Linked DNA regions of Struthio camelus. The protein of the gene in region 2 interacts with the protein of the main gene of each other region in a biochemical or structural test. Links are inferred from orthologs where the notes say so. Each region holds a gene or a part of one and is shown on either strand. Other genes may lie near its edges.

The links.
Region 1: the proteins of KDR (region 2) and SHC2 form a complex in vitro, tested with the Homo sapiens proteins (2 studies listed by BioGRID). The link is inferred for Struthio camelus from reciprocal best matches to the Homo sapiens genes KDR and SHC2.

Annotation. Positions count from the first base shown.
Region 1 is NC_090967.1:7,689,893-7,699,345, reverse strand, and holds the start of SHC2 (SHC-transforming protein 2), read right to left. Parts: upstream 4,264-9,453; 5' UTR 4,258-4,263; coding exon 3,700-4,257; intron 2,895-3,699; coding exon 2,824-2,894; intron 2,116-2,823; coding exon 2,055-2,115; intron 1,897-2,054; coding exon 1,777-1,896; intron 1,692-1,776; coding exon 1,638-1,691; intron 1,552-1,637; coding exon 1,500-1,551; intron 1,350-1,499; coding exon 1,223-1,349; intron 1,126-1,222; coding exon 942-1,125; intron 850-941; coding exon 783-849; intron 707-782; coding exon 542-706; intron 417-541; coding exon 115-416; intron 1-114. UniProt on the Homo sapiens protein: Signaling adapter that couples activated growth factor receptors to signaling pathway in neurons. Involved in the signal transduction pathways of neurotrophin-activated Trk receptors in cortical neurons.
Region 2 is NC_090945.1:56,669,161-56,678,851, reverse strand, and holds the start of KDR (vascular endothelial growth factor receptor 2), read right to left. Parts: upstream 3,843-9,691; 5' UTR 3,682-3,842; coding exon 3,630-3,681; intron 2,513-3,629; coding exon 2,422-2,512; intron 1,802-2,421; coding exon 1,605-1,801; intron 469-1,604; coding exon 344-468; intron 18-343; coding exon 1-17. UniProt on the Homo sapiens protein: Tyrosine-protein kinase that acts as a cell-surface receptor for VEGFA, VEGFC and VEGFD. Plays an essential role in the regulation of angiogenesis, vascular development, vascular permeability, and embryonic hematopoiesis.

The DNA.
Region 1 (9,453 bases), on a different chromosome or scaffold from region 2:
CGTCCCTGTCCCATCCCCATCCCCGTCCCCGTCCCCATCCCATCCCCGTCCCCATCCCCATCCCCATCCCCGTCCCCATCCCATCCCCATCCCCGTCCCGTCCCCGGTCCTCACCACGCCCTCGGGATCCACCAGCAGCAGGTGCTTGGGCTGCCCGCCGTGCATGCCCGTCAGCACGTACTGCCCCGGGTTGGTGATGCTGTCCCGCACCAGGAAGTCACCGTCCATCTGCAGGAGCTTCTCGGCGTCCCGCCGGCTCATCTTCCCATGGTACCAGGGCTCCCGCTTGAGCTGCTCCTCCGTGGGGGCGACGGGGGCCTTGCGGGTGGGGGGGCTCGGCCAGCGGTCCTCGAAGGGGGGGCCGCCGCCGCCCCCCGCCAGGCACTCGTGCAGCTTCAGCGCGTCCTCGAAAGGCCCTGCGGGAGCCCGAGGGCAGCGGGGAGGGGGGGTCACGGCGCGGCACGGCCGGCCCCTGCCCTCCGCCGCGGCTGGAGCCCCCTCGGCCCCCGCCCCGCGGCCCCCGCCCCGGCCCGGGGCTCACGCATGTCGAAGAGGTCCTTTTTGGGGCTGTCCTGGGGGGCGCCGCGGGCCGCGGGCTCCGGCTCGCCGGCCTCCAGGCTCTGCGTGTTGACGTACATGTGCTGCTCGTAGTCGGGCGGCCCCGGGGGCTGCCCGTCCGCCTGCAGGTAGCCGTCGCCGGGCTGGCCTGCCGGGACGGGGCGTCAGCGGCCGCCCCGCCGCCCCGCCGCCCCCCGGGCCGGCCGCCCCGCCGCCGTACCCACCCTGCGCCTCCAGCCCCCACGGCGGTCCCGGCTGGCTGCTGGGCTCTCGTCGGGGGGAAAAGCCGCCCTGGGGAGAGGAGCAGAGCCGGGGGCGTCAGCAGGGCCCGGCGTCCGCGGGCCCCCCCAACCCCGCGCCGGACGCGGCAGCCCCCGGCTCACCTGGCCGGCGGGGCTGGCGCCGGGGGGCTGAGGGCGGACGTGGCCCGGCAGCGCGCCGTGCCGGAGCCGGCAGTCGACGAGCCCCCCCGGCGGCGGCTCCTTGCCCGGGATGCTGTTGTAGTAGTCGTGCTCGGCGGCGGCGTCCTCGTCGTCCCGCCACGCCGGCTCCTCCGCCGCCAGCGCCCTGCGCGGGGACGCACGGGGACGGGCGCACCCTGCCCCGTCCGACCCCCGCGCCCGTCCCGGCGGAGCCGGTGCCGGTGCCGGTGCCGGTGCCCTACCTGTCCGCGGGCGCCGCCGCCCGGGGCGGGCTGTGCAGGTACTGCTTGAAGCGCAGCTCGAAGGCCTGGCCCACCGTGCTGATGACGCTCTGCGCCAGCCCCTCGCAGCACTCCAGGATGTGGCAGGCTGCGGACGGACGGACGGGCGGACGGACGGAGGGACGGAGGCTCGGCCGCCCCCCTCCGCCGCGTCCCCCGCTCCGGCCCCGGCCCCCGGCTCAGCCCTCCTGCCCGCGCCCCCTCCCCGCCGCCCCGCGGGCTCCCGGGCGAGCGTCACCTCTCTGGTTGATGGGGTCCTTGGCGACGTAGGCCACGTAGTCGGTGGTGTCCTGGGGGCACGGAGGGGCGGTCAGGGCCGGGGCCGCCTCCGGAGCGCCGCGGGGCGCCCACCCCGCGCCTCGGCCCCGCTCCTCACCGCGTCCCCGCCGGAGGCGAAGGAGATGGACTGCATGTGGTGGTGGGCGACGATCTGCGGGGAGACGCGGCCCGGAGCGGGGTGAGCGCGGGGCCCCCCCGCCGCCGCCCGGCCGCCGCCTGGCCGCCGCTCCGCTCACCTGCCGCGTGCTGGGGATGCTGAGGTTGAGGCCGTCGACGGAGATGTTGACGGCGATGCTCATGCCGGCGAAGCGGAGGTTGCTCTTGCCCAGGATGGAGAAGAGCGCCTTGTTGGGGGCCTGGGGGCGACGGGGCGGCGCTGGGCTGAGCAGCCCCCCGGCCGGGTTTCTCGGGGCCAAGGAGGGCAGCGAGGCGCCGGGCACGGGGCGACCCGCGGGGAGGACCCCCGGCCCGGCTCGGCCCCGGGAAGCAGCCGCCGGCCGGGCTGGGAACTCACCTTCTTCTTCCAGATGCCCTTCACGCCCGGCACCGCCTCGTACAGTCTGTTGATGGCTTCCCTGCGAGCGCCGCGCCAGGGGGTCACGGCTGCACAGCCCCGGCCCCCCCGGCCCCCCGGTCCCCTGGGCACGGCCAGCCGCAGCCCCCCCCCCCGCCGTCCCCAATGTCACCGCTGCCGCGGGTGAATAATCCCGGCCGGAGCCGCCTCCCTTCTCCTCTTTCTGCTATCGATCGGCAGCAGGTGCCCTTCGCCGCGCCGCTCCCACGTCCCCAGCCCAGCACAAGGGTCCCCGATCGTGGCCCCGTCCCCGGCACAGCATGGGGGACCCCGTCCCCAGCACAGCACAAGGGTCCCTGACCACAGCCCCGGCCCTGGCACAGCAAAAGGGTCCCCGACTGTGGCCTCATCACCAGCATGGCACGGGGGTCCACAACCATGGCCTTGTCCCCAGCACAGTGCAGGGGTCCCTGTTCCCATCCCCAGCACAGTGCAGGGGCACCCAACCGTGGCCTCATCCCTGGCATGCCGCAGGGGTCCCCATCCCCATCTCTGGCACGGCACAGGGGTCCCCAACCATGGCATCATCACCAGCATGGTGCAGGGGTCCCCATCCCCATCCCCATCCCCATCCCCATCCCCATCCCCATCTCCATCCCCATCTCCATCTCCATCCTGGCGCAGGGTCCCCGACCGCGGCCCCGTCCCCCACCTCCCCGCAGGGAGGGAAGCCACTGCCGGGGCCGGCGGGGCGCGGGGCCCTCCCTACCTGGTGACCTGCGTGCGGGTGTTGAAGTCCAGGGACCGCATGGAGCGCAGCACCTCGATGCAGCCCATGTACTGCGGGGCGGCAGGAGGGGAGGGTGCTCAGAGCGGCCACCGGCGCGAAGGAGGGGAGCCGGGGCGGCGAGGGGGCGTCCCGAGACCCCGCGCCGGGGCTCGCCCCGATGCGCAGACGCCCAGCGGGGAGGCTCCGTCGCGCCCCCGAACCCGCGCTGAGACCCGGCACGCTCGTCTGCCTGCGAGGGGCTGGCTCCGGCCACGTCCCAGAGCTGCTCCCCCGGGCCGGGGAGCCCCCAGCCGGCCCAGCCGCCCTCCCCGCCGTGTGCCAGTGGCTTCACAGAGCTCGGCCGCCACGTGACGGGGAGAAAGGGCTGCGCGGATGGCGCCCGCCGCCGTGCCACCGGGCCTGCCCGCCCCGAGCATCGCCCCAGCCCGCAGCCGGCTGCCGCCTGCAGCGCCCGCGCGGGGCCACCCGCCCAGTCACCCTGCCGGCCAGCTCCCCTGCAGGCACGGCCCTTTGGCTGGAGGGAAACTGAGGCACGGCGGGGCCGTGGGGCAGGTGCGTCCTGGCAGAGCATCCCTGGGCTCTGCCTCGCTCCCCGGCCCCGAGCGTCCGCCCGGCCCCGAGCCGCGTGCAGGCTGGGCTGGTTCGGAGCCAGGCGCGTGGCCGCAGCACGGTGCAGCCTGCCAGCAGCCTTCGGCCCCGGAAACCATCGCCGCGGCCCCTGCGCCAAGCATGGAGCCCCCAGGAGGCTGGCGCGGAGCTCCCCAGCCGGGCAGCACCCGGTCCTGGGGCAACGGCACCGCTTGGCGCCGGGGGCTTCGCGCCTGCCCACCAGGACGCGGCCGCAGCCAGACTTACCCGGACGATGTAGGAGACGCCGGGTCCCAGCACCCGCTCGTCGGGATGGAGCCAGCCCTGCGCCGGCTTGCTGATGAAGCTGCCCTTGCGGGTCCACTCGTCGCCGGCCAGCTTGGCCCCCTCGACGCGGGCGGCCTTCCTGGCGGCCCCAGCCCCGCCGCGCAGCCGGCTCATCACCTGCAGCGAGCAGGGCGCCGAGCAGACGGGCTCGCAGGCGCTCAGCACGGCGGCCAGGCTGGAGGGGGGCCCCCCCGGCTCCGCGGGGCCCCCCGCCTTGGCCGGCGAGGAGAGCTCCTTGCTGGAGCCCGAAGGGCTGCGGCTGAGGAAGCCCGTGGGGCCGGGGAACTTCCACTGGGGCATCCTGGGGATGAGCATGCAGAAGGTGGTGACGGCCTCCTGCTCCTCGCCGAGCGGGGGACACGGGTGGGCCAGGGCCGGGGCCGCGCCGGCGGGCGAGGGGGCCGGCGACGGCATGGGGGCGGCCGGCGGGTGGCGCGGGGCGGCCGCGGCCGTCAGCGTGTCGTTGCGAAAGCGGTCATACTTGGGCTCCGGGAGCATGCCCCGCGCTGCGGCCGTGCCTCTGGAGCGGCTGCCTGGCGCGGCGCGCGCTGGCGGCGCGGCTGCCCGCGCCGGCCCCCACCCCCTGCCCGCTCCCCCGGGGCTGGCGGCGCGGTGATGTCATGGTGTGAGTGCTCGCCGGCCGGCAGGCTGCGCGCCCAAGGCCGCCCCGCGAGCATCCCTCCCACCCCGCGCGTCCCTCCCGCCCTGTGCGCGTCCCTCCCGCCCCATCAGCATCCCTCCAGCCGCGCAGCATCCCTCCCGCCCCATCAGCATCCCTCCAGCCGTGCAGCATCCCTCCCGCCCCATCAGCATCCCTCCAGCCGTGCAGCATCCCTCCTGCTTCATCAGCATCCCTCTGGCCCCACACACATCCCTCTAGCCCCACAAGCATCCCTCTAGCCATGCAAGTGTCCCTCCCGCCCCATCAGCATCCCTCCAGCCGTGCAGCATCCCTCCCGCCCCATCAGCATCCCTCCAGCCGTGCAGCATCCCTCCTGCTCTATCAGCATCCCTCCAGCCGTGCAGCATCCCTCCTGCCCCATCAGCATTCCTCCAGCCATGCAGCATCCCTCCTGCTTCATCAGCATCCCTCTGGCCCCACACACATCCCTCTAGCCCCACAAGCATCCCTCTAGCCATGCAAGTGTCCCTCCCACCCCATCAGCATCCCTCCAGCCGTGCAGCATCCCTCCCGCCCCATCAGCATCCCTCCAGCCGTGCAGCATCCCTCCCGCCCCATCAGCATTCCTCCAGCCATGCAGCATCCCTCCTGCTTCATCAGCATCCCTCTGGCCCCACACACATCCCTCTAGCCCCACAAGCATCCCTCTAGCCATGCAAGTGTCCCTCCCACCCCATCAGCATCCCTCCAGCCGTGCAGCATCCCTCCCGCCCCATCAGCATCTCTTCAGCTGTGCAGCATCCCTCCCGCCCCATCAGCATCCCTCCAGCCGTGCAGCATCCCTCCCGCCCCATCAGCATCCCTCCAGCCCCATCAGCATCCCTCTGACCCCATGAGCATCCCTCTGGCCCTGTGAGCATCCCTCCCACCCCACGCACATCCCTCCTGCCCCATCAGCATCCCTCTGGCCCCACGAGCATCCGTTAAGCTGTGCAAGCATCCCTCCCACCCCACGCACATGCCTTTGGCACCACACGCATCCCTCCTGCCATGCAAGCATCCTTCCTGGCCCATGAGCATCCCTCCAGCCCCACTGCCCCCTGAGCCCTTGACTCTGCAGGGAAGGGGCGACAGAGCCCCAGGGAAGGGCAGAAACAGTCCCTGCACCGGATCCCTTCTGAGGAGGGCAGGGGACATGCCTCGACCCCCGAAGCTGGGAGATGGAGGCCAGCGGGGTTTTCCCTGCACGGCCTGGGGTACCCGTGCTGTCCCGGCAGAGCCCCAGGCACGGCCTTGCAGCCCCCCAGGCCTCGGGGGTGCCCCGCCACGTCCGCACACCCTCCGCATGCACAGCCCCATGGGGACAGAGCTGCACGGCGCTGCCTGCCCCGCGCCCCGCTCCCAGCCAGCTCGCCGCGGCCATGGCCGAGCGGAGCCCCTGGCCGGGGCCGGCCGCTGCCCCACGGTGCCCGGCTTTGCAGCAGGTGCTGCAGGGTTAACGGGCTCGGAGCCTCCCGGGTGACGTGGAGCCGGGGAGAGCTACTGCCTGCCCGCTGGGAGCCATAAAGCGTGATGCATGGTCTCCTCTGCAGCTCCCGCTTGCAATTAGCTTGAGTGGCGAGGAGGCAGCTCCTGAAGGGCCAGCAGCCCCCAGCCCCTGCCCTCTCCTGCGCCTGGGATGTTTTCTCCTCTTTTCCGTGTCTCCAGCATCGGGAAATGTTTGCAGGGAGCCTGGGGCTGGCTTTGCAAGGCTCCGCCGCGCAGTGGGGCTGGCCTATTTCTCTGCCTCCCAACCCAGTGGTCTCGTTCACGCCGAGTTTGTCTGCCTCCAAAGCCAGGCCTGTCTCTTGCATGTTTATATCTGTCTGGAGGGCGCTGCCGGTAAAAAGCACAATCATTTTCTTGCTTCTCTGCCAGTATCTGCAGCAAGCAAAGAAAAAACCTTGCAGGGACTTTCTGAGCTCAGAACAATCCCGCTAACGCTCTCCCTCTCCAGACCTGGGGCTGTCTCTTTTTTCCAGGGGTGGAAAGGACTCCGGCCTCCTGTCGAGCCCAGGCCATGCCGCCCGAGCCCCCACCAGCGGCTCGGGGAGGTCCGGGCTGTGCCCCCTGCAGCCCCATGCCCAGAGCGGAGCTGGTCCCACCGGAGCTGCCGGCAGCCGCGTGGGCAGGGGTGGGCGCCAGCCCCGCCAGTGTGAGGCGACGGGATGTTGCAGCCCCACGGGGCAGTCGTGCCCCCTCGCAGCCCACCCCGCTCCCCGGTATTCCCTCTGCCGTGTCGGGCAGCGCGGCCACCGGCGTCCTGCCTCCTCCGTGCCGGCTCCCGCGCCCGGCAGGTGAGGGGGGGGACGCCAGTAATTGCTCTAAGTGCAATCAATAAATCACGGTAATAGAATTACATTTGCTATTGCCGTATTAGGAACCGCTTCTCTTCTCCCAGCCTCTCGCTGCTCTCCTCGGTTTTGTTTTTAAACAGCCGCAAAGCCCCGGGTTGGGCTCCTCGGTGCTGCCGTCGCGGCGCCAGCCGGGATGGGGGTGAGCGGCCGGTCCCCGCGCCGCGCTCGCCCCACGTCCCGCTGCCCCGCGGCGCTGCGAGCCGCTCTCCTCCCTTGCACCAGTCCCCGGGGGCCAAGGGATTATTTTCATCTCGTTCGCAGCCGGTCTCAGACTCTGGACGCTTAGCTGCACGTCGACGGCTTTCCCCTGCCTGTTTTTAACCACGACCTAAAGGAAAGCCCGCGAGAGCGAAGCCCGGGGGGCAGCGGGGCGCGCGGCAGCCCCCGCGGCCGGGCCGAGCGGGGCCGGGCGATCCCCCCTCCCCGGGAGCCCGCGCTTCTGCTGCAGCGCGGGGCGATTCCCGGGGCCGCTGGACTGCACCCCGGCTCTCCCCGGCGGTGGGCGATTTGCATAACCGTTCTGAACCGTGCTAATTAATCTCCTTACACCTCTGGCGCTGCACGAGGGGAATCGACATCAAGTGCTCTCAAGCCCACGAAGGATTAATTAGGAGAGGAGAGCAGGCGCGTGCACGGCCGAGCACACGTGTGACGAGCTGTCAGTGCTGAGCTCCCGGGACCAGGCGGCCTCGAGCCCTCCTGCCCCACGGCATGGCCGCCTCTTTCTCCAAATTTCTCCCCCTGGCAGCCAGGCTGGGAGGGAAAAGGCCTCGAACCCTCCCGGGAGGCATCGGGCTGCAGCCACCCCGACCGAAGGTGGCCGAGAGGGGACGGATGCAGCCGGCTGCCGCCGAGCGGGGCTGCGGGGGCGACGGTCCGGGCGAGGAGCCCCGTGCCAGCACGCTCCCCTCTGCTCCCGCAGCCGCGGCCCCGCTGGGGCCGGGTGCCAGCGCCTCTCCCCAGCCCCCCCGGCAGCCACTCTCGCCGCTGCCTCGGCCTCGGCCACCCCGGCGGGGCGGGAGGCAGACGCGCGGGGGCCACAGCGTGCTGCCGCTTTATTTATTGCAGGTCCCCGGGCTGCAAAGGGGAACCCAGCCCGGCCCGTCGGCCGGCGAAGGCCAGCAGGCGCGATGCATCGCCGAGCAGGCGGCCGGCGATGGCAGCCCCGCTGCGCCCGCTGCTCCCCGCTCCCGCGGCCAGGGGCCATCCCAGCGCGAGGATGCCCGCGGGGAGCCCGGGCTCGCTCCTGCCGGTCCAGGGCCTCGGGGCCGCGACGGTACAAGCTGGCGGGGAGCTGGCGAGGGGCCGGGAGACGGTGGCGCCGGGGCTGGAGGGCCGGTGGGGGCCGCAGCAGCCCCCCAGGCGGCGGGCTGGGGCCGGGGTTCAGCCCCGCGGGTGCCCGCACCGCACCACCGGCCTCAGCCCCAGGCGGCTCTCAAAGGAGCTGGACGGAGCTGGGGGGCCGGGGTGGCTCGGGGCGCAGCAGGGCCGGGACCCCCCGCTCCAGCCCCCCGCGAGCCCCGGGTGCCCCGAGGGCCACGCTGCCCTGCAAACGCCGCCCTCCCTCCTTTGCGACCCGCTCCGAGCGCGGGGCGGAGGAGCGCCCGAGCTCGGAGCCTGTACGAAAGCCGGGAAAAGCCGCTCCCGCAGCCCCCGGGGCCGCAGGAGCCCGGCGCCGCCGCCGGCCGGGCCAGACCCGCAAGGGGAGGTGGGCTGGGGACGGGAGGACGGGCAGCTTGTCCTGCGCGGGGCTGAGCAGGGAAGAAAGGTGTATCGATTGTAATTACGAATGCTCTGCATTTCGAGGACAATGCGCTCTGGCTTTTTAGTGCAAGCTGCTGGCCTGACCTCAGCCATAAATAGCGGCGGGGGCTGCCTCCCCCCGCCGAGCTCGCAGGGAGGGAAGAGGCCGGTTCAGAGCTGCCGTTTGCCAGCGGCTGCTTCCTTGGGCTTGCTGGCAGGAGCGAGACAGCACAAAGGATCCACGCGCAGTTTCGTTCTCCTGGACACAGGGGAAGACACAAACACATGCAGCCCACATCACATATACAGAAAAGATGTGGGACACATGCTGCTCCGTGCTTCCCTCCACCTGAGAAGGAACATGTGCATGCAAAAAACACACATTTCCAGGGGCTGTGTTTGTACACGCCGGACGGAGAACAGGGCTTTGCATGCTTTGGGATGGGGACGCAACCGTGTGCTGCCAGGATGCGTGCGTGGACTCGTGCGTGCGTGCGTGCATGGTGCGCGCAATGCCCTGCGCCAGGAAGGCAGGAGGGGGCTGAGCCACTGCTTTTGCTTCAATAACCCCCCTTAACTGACTAGCGCCATCGAGTCTCTGGTGGAAGGAGTACGCGGGGGCGGTTAGCCGGGTGTAGTCGTGGTTAAGGAATCCCAGTGTAGGAGGCAGGTTGTACCGTCCTGGACCAGGGCCTGGCAAGAAGCAGCAGACAGGCAGGGTGGAGGCACCCCACGGGGCCGTGGACCAGGCCGCCTGGGCTCTGGGGCGGCCGAGGCACGCTGCCGGGGAGCTGAGAGCAGGACGCGGCCAGGACACCTGGGTCCTCTCTCCTGAGCGGGTGCACACTACAAAGGGCTAAAAAGTGAGAACCCATCCACTACTTCCTACGCTGCCGACCCACGGGGCTGTGGGTTTGCTGTCTAATCCCTCCT
Region 2 (9,691 bases):
ATCTTCTCTGGATATTTCTGTTTGAAACATTGATAAAAAATATAATCAAATTCCAAAAATCAAGCAGTCCCAAAGTTTTAAGTCCAATATCTTCCGTAACAGCATAAGCCTACTTTTAACATCTTAGCTCAAGCAATCTTCTTTTCATAGACAATGAATGTGTATTTGCAGAGTGCAGGAGCACGGATGAGTATAGTTACCGCGCTCACCTTCTAATCATAGCTCTAAAATTCCCACAGAGAAAAATAGTTTTTTAAGAAACATATTTAAATACTCCATCATTTGAAGTATAATCATATTGACTTTAACTAACTCTTAAAACAATAATGGGCTTTTTCCTTACCGCATGTAGAGATACATTGAGATTTGATACAGTTCCAAGGCATGGTACTACCACTGTTTTATTCTTAGTGATGTATACAATGCCGAGTTGATCACTAACTGAAGTCACAAATGGAGATCTGTAATCTAGAAGAACATTTGGTTGGTAAATAGATATTATTTGTCAAGTGATTTGGGAGCAAACTTTTTCCATTTTTTTCTTTCTCTGTTTATTCCTTCTCAAATCAGTTTTATTTCTTTCTACCTGGCAAAACACTCAAATGATGAGAATAAAGGGAGGGCTATGTTTTGACAGCCACCCAGTTTTACAATACTATTATTCTCAAAACAGTTATCAGCAGGAGTACGTACTTCAGAGAATAGCTTCCTGCCACGGCACTCTTTGTGCAGGCAAAAATCTGATTTACCCTAGTATAACTTTGCTTGCATAAGTATTACAGGAAATATCAGTTAAAGTAGTGACACGCTAAACAGCCCCCAAAACAGCAGGGTCCTTTTCAGAGTCAGTCAAAAAAAAAAAGAGAGCTCATGATCTTATAGAACAAGCTAGCTCATGTATATAACAACACCCCATTGTTAAAAATGCTAACCACAAGTTAGAATAAAAAGGAAATAGGACGCACAAGAACATGGGTACCAACGCAAGTGCAAAAAAGGGAGATGCCTTAGTGTATGCACCTTCTTAAGCTGAATGTATAACTGAAGGCTTTGCAGCAGCTGCCATGCTCTTCAGCATTTCTATCAACAGAACTGATAGCCTGAGTCTGAAACTCAGCTTTTACTCCTATAGTCAACCAATGCACGGAAGCTCACGGTTTAATTTGTTTGAACAGCATCAGTTAGTACAAATGGTAAAAGGCAGGGTGATACGTCTATTTTAAAAAATACATACGACCTCTATAATCCTCCCTTGTAGGAAACTCCTACTGACTTCAGTAATAGCTCTGCAATCATGAGGACAGGCTGAGAGCACAGTAGAGATATATGCAGGCTAAGTTCTGGGCAGAGGAGAAAAGTAGACTAAGTACCGTACATGGAAGGTTAATTTAAAATTACAAGCACACAGCTTTTTCTATTGAAGGCAGCGAGCATATTGGCATGTAACTACTTAGCATGAAAATGGGTAGGAAAAATAATAGTTTCATAGGACTAAAAATTTTGGGATTTAGAAATTTTAATGCCAAAATCATTTTGAGACGCTTAATACCCCTTTTCATTTTGCAGAGAGGTGGGAGTCACATATGAACTGTGTAAGCACTTACCTTGAACATAGACATAAATGGTTGTAGCTGCCTGGCTGTCCCTGTAAAGGCACCTGTAGTCTCCTGTGTCATTGCCTATTACTTTTAGGAGAGTAAGCATCTTACAGTAGGGGCCATCACTACAGTTTGTCACAGCGATACGCTTCTCAGCACTGCTCTGATTGTTCGGCCAGAACCAGTCCAGAGCTCTCTGACCACTAGGAAAGCAAATGTTAGAGAAGCATTAGCACGTGATGGGTATCAGTACGGTTGCCAAGCTGGTAAAACTCAGTTCTGCTAGTCTCTACAGGTACAAAAAGGAATTGGCTTCATTACGTAGCATGGATTGTCAAGTCCCATATGACAAATTCACACAAACCAAGCTATTACTAATACCTACGTGGAAGCTATTTCATTTTGAGAATTCAGTGATGGCAAATCGAAGTAACACAGATCCTAAAAGGGAGGGGCGAGAGCCTCACTCCCCAGCACACCCTGCAAGGATCCAGCTAATGCCGCGTCTCCTTGCACTTCCCAGCTCCTCTCACAGGGTAGTAGTCGGGACTAGACCAAAGCTACTCTGAAGCACTTTTTATGTCATGCCCATTGGCTAGCCTGCTGCTGTACCTTTCTTCAGTGATCCTCCGTTACTGTAACCCTTTAAGATCATTTCTAAAGCCCATCAGGGAAAAGCACAGGGGAAGGGAGAATTACAAAGGGAGGGGAGAGAAACGGGAGAGATGAAAGGAGAGAGAGAAAGAGTCATCTGTAATTCTGTACAAAAAAAGGCTGCATAAGTAACCCCCATCAAAAGCATACTGGCCAGATTTGCCCTTACCTGCAAGTAATATTTAGAGTAGCATTTGCAGTTATTGTGAGGACATCTTTTTGGATGCTAAGGCTTGGCTGATCCAGAGAAGTAAATAAACCTGCAAAAATATGTATGAAAAACCTCCAGTCAAAGCAATTACAAGATAAAAGTAAATGCTGCTCAATCAGAAAAGCATCACATACAAGTAGATGCTACATGTTTTAAGTGGACACTTTCACATCATCTGCTTAGCAGTGTAGCGGTAAATAATGACTTTTCACACATCACAAAGTTCAAAAACTCTGTCATAACAGGAAGAAAAGGCAGATGGTCAGGACCTAGCTGCAGAGCACTACAATTCATCGAGCCAGGGTGGAGTTCCTGTTTTTTTGCATTGCCAGATTCAAGGTCTAACAAGAGGATGTTGGACATTGAAATAAAGCGAACCTTCATCTGATGATCTCACTCCCTGGGGAAAGGGATCACCAGCTTTTCTTATAATAAATTGCATATATTTATATTCTTTGAGCCTGCTGATTAAGGAATTCAGTGAAGAATTCCTTTGCACAGTTTGCCACAAAGTCAAGGTCTCATGAGCCCAGCACTGCTCTTCTTTACCATGTTTTTCTCACGTTGCCCCTCTCTTCCTAAGCAGCCGGGCAAAACCCATTACCCTCGAGCTCTCTTCACGCCAGGGTTGCATCAGGCTCGCGCCGAGCCACCTGCGCTCGCGAAGGCTGCGATTTCAGCGCCGATGCTCGCTCTGAGGCAACACAGTCCAGGTTGCGCAAGGCTTGCGAGGAACACAGCCAGAGGTTTTCAGGCCGCGCTCCCGCCAGGAATCCTGCCCCACCGGCGCAGGACCAGGACTCCCCACCGGCACAGCGCGGCCAGCCGCCGCGGGTGACAAGACGGCCGGGCCAGGCCTTAACTCTTTCCCTGCCCTTCCCCTCGCGCGTCCCCGCGGTTTAACCAAGGGCGGCCGATGACAGCCCCGGGCTGGGGCTCCCGCCGCGGACCCGCAGCCCAGCCGACGGCTGCCCCTCAGCCGAGCCGCACCGTTGCTCATCAGCACCGCCGGGCACAGCCCTTCCCCGCCGGGCTGCAGGCCCGCGGCCGCCCGGCCGAGCCCCCCTCCTCGACACCCCGCGGGGCCGCAGCAGCGCAACGGCTCCGCGGCCGCCCCCCCTCCCCCCAACCGCCCTTTGCGGGGCGCCCCGACGGGTGCCGCTTACCGGGCGCCAAGCACAGCGCGGCCACCAGCACCAACGCCGCGCCGAGCTCCATGCCGCGGCCGCCGGGCCCTCCCGCCAGCCGGGGGCGGCTTCAGCTGCGGGCGCTGCCGAGCGCGGAGCGACGTCGGGGCAGTGGCAGCGGCAGGGGCCGGGGCAGGAGCCGCTCCGCGCCGCGCCGCGGGATGCGGGACCCCGGCGAGCGCCGCCGGCCCCGCCCCGCCCCGTCCCGTCCCCTCGGGCTGGGGGCGGGGCCTCGCCGCCGCCGCCCCGCCCCGTCCCCGGCGGCCGTTGGCCGGAGGGACGGTTGGGCCGTTGGCGGCCTGGGCCGGGCGGGCGAGGAGACGTTGTCGGGGTGGCCGGTGGGACCTCGCGTGACAGGGTTCTTCCTGAGGCACGTGCAGGAAGACACGGTTCTTCTCCTGCTGCCCCTTGACTTTATCCACCCGAGCTTTTACGTCTCTGACCATAGGAAGACCTGCGTTTGCAGGACAACTTGAAAGTCCCTCAGTCAGGTGCATCTTCTCGGCGCGTGTGACACGTATCCATCAGTTTAACTGACTAAATCACGTCCAGCAGAATCCGGCAACTTCTCGTAAGATTCATCCTTTCCACCCTTTTCCTCCAACAGCCAAATCCAGTACTCTTTCCCCAGGTATCAATACCAGCTGCGGTACTGATTCCCCTTTCATACTGCAGGTTTCATCCCCCCCCCCCCCCAAAAAAAAATTAACCCCCATCCCCAACTAGAATTGTACTTTTTAATCGAAATTATTAACCAAGCCACTGTTGAAAGACAAGTTCATGAAGCAGTCCTTCTGGGAAAATAAATACATGGTCATAAATGCTTTATCCATACACATAAATCTACAGCCTCAGGGGGGAAACAAATACATCTGCAGTAACAAATGGGTAGGTAGGTAGGTGGAGAGATAGACAGATAGATAGAATAGGTAGACAGATAGATAAAATAGGTGGGTAGATAGATAAGTAGCCATCTAAGTAGGAAAATGGACAGAAACAACATAGCTATATACATAACTGCATGCATGCATGTACATACATATCTGCATACTACAGTTTTCTCTTTACCTGCAGATCTGCATGTGAGCCTGTCCACAAATGAATAAGTTAACGAAGCAGTGATTTTATTTTGCATGCTGTGCAATTCCAGCTGGTTTACTGTACTTGGGAATCAGCGTAATTTCCTTTGAAACACCCCTGTTGATCACAGAAAAATACAAGGACTGGGAGAAGCCAAATTTCTGTACTAATTTTTTCCCAGAAACCAAATAAACTCCATGAAAAGTCAGAGAAGAATCATATGGCCCAAAAAGTGGCAAGTGGGCATCGTGCAGATAAAATGTGTTACTGCTATTCTTATGAGCTCTTAAACCAGCAAATTGGTAGCCCTCATCTATCTCCATCATATTGTAGGTTGGGTCAGTGGTGTCTCTCAACTAAACAACTGTCCCTTGCTGAGACTATGGCTAGGCTGCATATGAGGTTTACGTTTATGTAGAAGTGATAAATACTTAGTGAGAACCAAAGCCACCTACTGTTAAAGAGCCACTTTTGATAACTTCATTTGTGGTGCTGCTGTTTCTGTCGTTTTTGACTACCAAGAACAACATTTTTATTAGAGATGATAAACCTGCCAGAACTGTTTTCCTCCAAAGCAGTTTAGCTCGTTAACAAAGCTAATGAAATTATAGGGATAAGTTGAAAAATGTTCAAATGAACATACTATGGGATCCATGGAACACAGGACAATCACTCGTACCTCACTTTACTGCTTTCTATACTCATATATAAACTTCCAAAAATGCAGTCTGTAGAAAATATGCCACTATACTGATTTTAGCAAATGACTTTTCTGAGACTTAGTTAGACAATACACAAATATAGCTTACTGTAATTCCATTTATGGCCTCTTTTCAAGCATAATTATTGCTATTATGTCAGGGGACTGGAGTGGGGTGGTTGGTTTCGTTGCTGAAAACGATCTTGGCATCTGAGCTTTGTGCAAATAACAAATATCTAAACTTGCAAACAAATCCAAGCAAATATCCAAATATCCAAAATAATAAATATCCACTGCTTGCCCTGAGGCTACCTAAGCAGGGATACGTGACTTCTTCTTCAGTCAAACTTGCAAATGCACCCCAATACTTCCTACATCTCCTTTTCCAAGTCTGGTGCCTCTTAAGTGAAGACCGCAGAATGTTCTGTACTTCTGTAACATGCCCAAAGGCAGCAAAGAGAAGAAGGTAAAATTCATTTTACACCAGGATGGCACAACTCAGATGAGCAGCAGGTTGGAGGAGAGACAGAACACTGCAGACTTCAGTTTCCCAGTAATGGCCCACTAGAAGTTAGCCCTCCTTGTCCCTTGGGGATCATTACATCCCCTGCCTCCTTTCTCTGCAGTTTCCTGGGGAAGGGAAGGGGAGGAAAGGACAGCGGACACACGAACCTCCAGGCTAGTCAATGCACACACCTAGCTGAACAGCCAGCAGTGAGGAGCGTGCAAGTTATGAATGTCAGGTATCCACAGAGAAGTGTGTAGTCCAGAAGCACGTAGTCAGACAAAAAATTAAAAACAAGCAAACAAACAAAAAAACCTCGCCTGCAGACCATATGTTGGCTGTACTGCTCCAGATCAGAATCTACCCTTTTTATCCATTCTGAGCAGTACTTATCTCCCTTAGTGATCCCACTGAAATCTCCGTCTTTACCCTGTAAATGGAAGTACAATCCTTCAGTCCTTTGCCTGGCTGTCAGTTTAAGCTTGTTAACTAGAATTATGCTATAGAAGCTGCTGCTTCACTGTATTCATTACTGTCCCTAGCGTATCAGAGAAATTTGTGATATGAATGAAGTAGAAGACAAGTCCTTACACTCCAGATATTTGAATGAACTCCCAGCCCTGCAGACATTTAAACATAAGAGGAAATTTACTCTGGAGAGTCATTTTACTGATGTAGGGCTTTTCATGTGAATGAATTTATTTACATGCATAGTGTGCATTGGACTAATCCTCTAATAATATCAAGTAAAAACTATGGTCAATACTCATTGGAAATGGTAGGTGTACAAGGAAAGCAAGAGCTAAAAAAGATGTGAAATGACTTTACTGACACAGAGTATACGGTATCATATGTGCTTTGCTACACTGATTTTTATATTTTGAACTTTGTTGTGGCTTTCTCAAGAGGGTTGTCACTGGAAGACACCATGGGAAACCTCTGAGAGAAGAATGGACCGAAGCACAGGAGAGACAGTTACCTATCATCTAACTGAAAGACTGATCTAAATACACTGCTACTGTGATACACTGCTACTGGGATAGCTGTGGGATATTAGGCAACAGATGGCTGCAAGGTTGAGGGGCAAAGGGGCACAGTTTACAAAACCAAAATCCCAGTGATTCAAGTGATGGCAACTTTCATATCCAGTCTTTTAGGCTATAAGCTCTGTGCAGCCTTTCTGCCTTCCTTTAGCCTTGTAGGATATCAAATGTAGCCTGGCTTTCACCAGAGATTACCGGCGCTGAACCATGTGGCGCAAGTGAAAGAATCCAAATACGAGAATCATAATCCAGACTACTGAATGAATAAAATGGTGAGATTTCCTCCCTCCTCAGAGACTGTTTCAATCTGGGAATCTTGTTTCTTCCTGGGATCCTCAAAACAACATGAAATAGCTTCTAATGCTACACCTACCCTTAGGCTCAACACCCTCACCTGCCTTAAATGACAAACAATCCCTTCAAGACTTTTGAGGACTGGCTTAGTCAGAAAAGCCTGCCGCTGTCTTGGCCAGACAATTCCAGTAAAGAATGCAGGGCTGGCATGAGCTCCCCAAACACCCAGCCTTCCTACCACACTGCGTGAGTCTTGGTCTGGCTCGGGACTGGATCTGGAGATTTGCAGGAGAGCTGATATCTAATGGGTGGGATACACTCAGCCAGCATGATTCCTGTACATTTAGTCAGATCAATTCCCTGCTAATACAGCATCTTCCAAAGCCCCTTAGAGGCTTAGTTCTTAAACCCCTTGCCTACACCTTGAGATGGAGAGTGACAGCAACCCTCCTTCGAGTTTGTTTTCAGCCCTCGTTAGCCTCTTTGCCTGCAGCCCCCCAAGGAGGGAAGCTCTGTTTCCGTGACACAATCACTGGGAACGATCTGTATGACAGGAGGGGGCACGAAGTCGTGCCTTGGCCAAACAAGGCCAGCAAACTTTTGTTTATGCATCTGCTCCTCTGGTCGCCAAAAGCTCATTAAAAACAAGACACAAAGAAGCAGGACAAGAGACTGGCAGCTCCCCATCACTCCCCCTTCCCTCTCCTCCCCGGCTTGTCACGACTCCCCCACGCTTGCTCACTCCCACCAGCATCTCCCGGCTGCCTGCAGAGCCCAGCCAGGACAACTGCAGCAGCAGGGGCAGACAGGCAGCCTTTTGTTTGCTTAATTATTCAAATAACAACCTGGGGGGAGATAAGGGCTGGCACTGGGAACACCGATTATGCTCTTCCTTGCTGCAGCAGTTGAATAGGTTTGTAAATGGTCCCTGGCAGCCTAAGGTGCGCAACTGCTCAGTGAAGGCCTTTCATTTAGAAAGGAACACTGATAGCACCACTACCTTTAATATTATTCCCATTTTCTCTTCTGCTAGTACCTGTAGTAGCAACAGAGAGCAAACATGCTCGTCCTCACCACGCATAAACACACACACACGTTCACTGCATGGAGAGGAAGGAAGCAAATTAACCCACAGAAGTGAAGACTGGCTGTGGGGAAACACAGTTGCTGTGCAATCCTTCTTTACCCCTCAGCAAAATACCTCCATATTCACAGAAGACAGAAAAGCATTGCCAGTTACAGCTGCTGAATTAATGCTGGATGAGACCTAGTGAAAGCCAACTGGGCAGGCTACGAAGTCCCTTGCAGAACGCATCTGGGATGGTGCAGCCAGTGGCCAGATCGGCTGGCAGTCACTCCTTCATGCCACAGCTGGGGCTGCTAGGGTCTCAAGCATCTAAAAAAGGGGTGGGTGGAAGTATGTGGCTGTGGGTAGTAGCTATGAGAGTTCTTGGGGAAGCTAAAAAAATTAGATATCTGCTTCAAGGAGCAGATAGGAGCTCAAGGAGCGTTTCAGGTGCTTTAACGCAGCTTGTACACGGATGTAACTATGTGCAATCAACCTAGCTTGGAAGTTACCCACTGCAGATACCACTGCTGCAACAAGCACTGGAGCCAGGCAGTATGGCTTTATTATAGTTTCATTAGGCATGCTTTACTGGCACAGCTACGCTGATAAACATTGCTAAGGCAGACATGGAAGCACACTTAAGATCCCACAAACAGAAGAAAATAAGATGGCAGTCATTTAATATTGAATGCCATCGCTTTTCATAGAGAACACGTGCAAAAGCAGAAATACATTCAGCATGTCACATACCACATACGTAGGCCCCAGAAAATCTATTGGTTTGCAAGTGGTATTGCAAACACTGTATTCAAAGGACTAAATTTATTGTTCCAGTCAGAGATAAAATCACTGTCCTAGGTGAGAACAGGCATGGGAATAGGAATGATAAAGCAAAAAAACCCACTTATTTTCAGATAGAGTTGCCTAAAGGCAGAGAGCTGAATGATCCTTTTACCTGTTTTCAGAGTATGCCAGCAATGTTAACACCTTTGCTGGAATCTGCAGACATATCACATACATTAGGCTATGTCCAGCTATAAACGGAAGGTGTGAGTTCAGCATGTGTGGACAGCCCCAGAATAGCTTTAATCTAGCTAGGCTGGACACTGATGGTAACACAACTGGAAGAGCAGGTTTAATGCTATCAAGGCCCAGACTAGTCTAACTTGCCTTCGAAATGTCTCTCTGCTCTTAGATGCCTAATTGTAGTTGGAGGCACATGGAATTTTAGGGACCAATCTTTGAAAAATTAAACTTCTTTCTGTTTATTTGCTTGCTCCCTTCACTTCCTAAACTTCCACCTCTGCATTCTGAGCTTTAATAACTGCCCATGCTAGGACATTAGCCCTT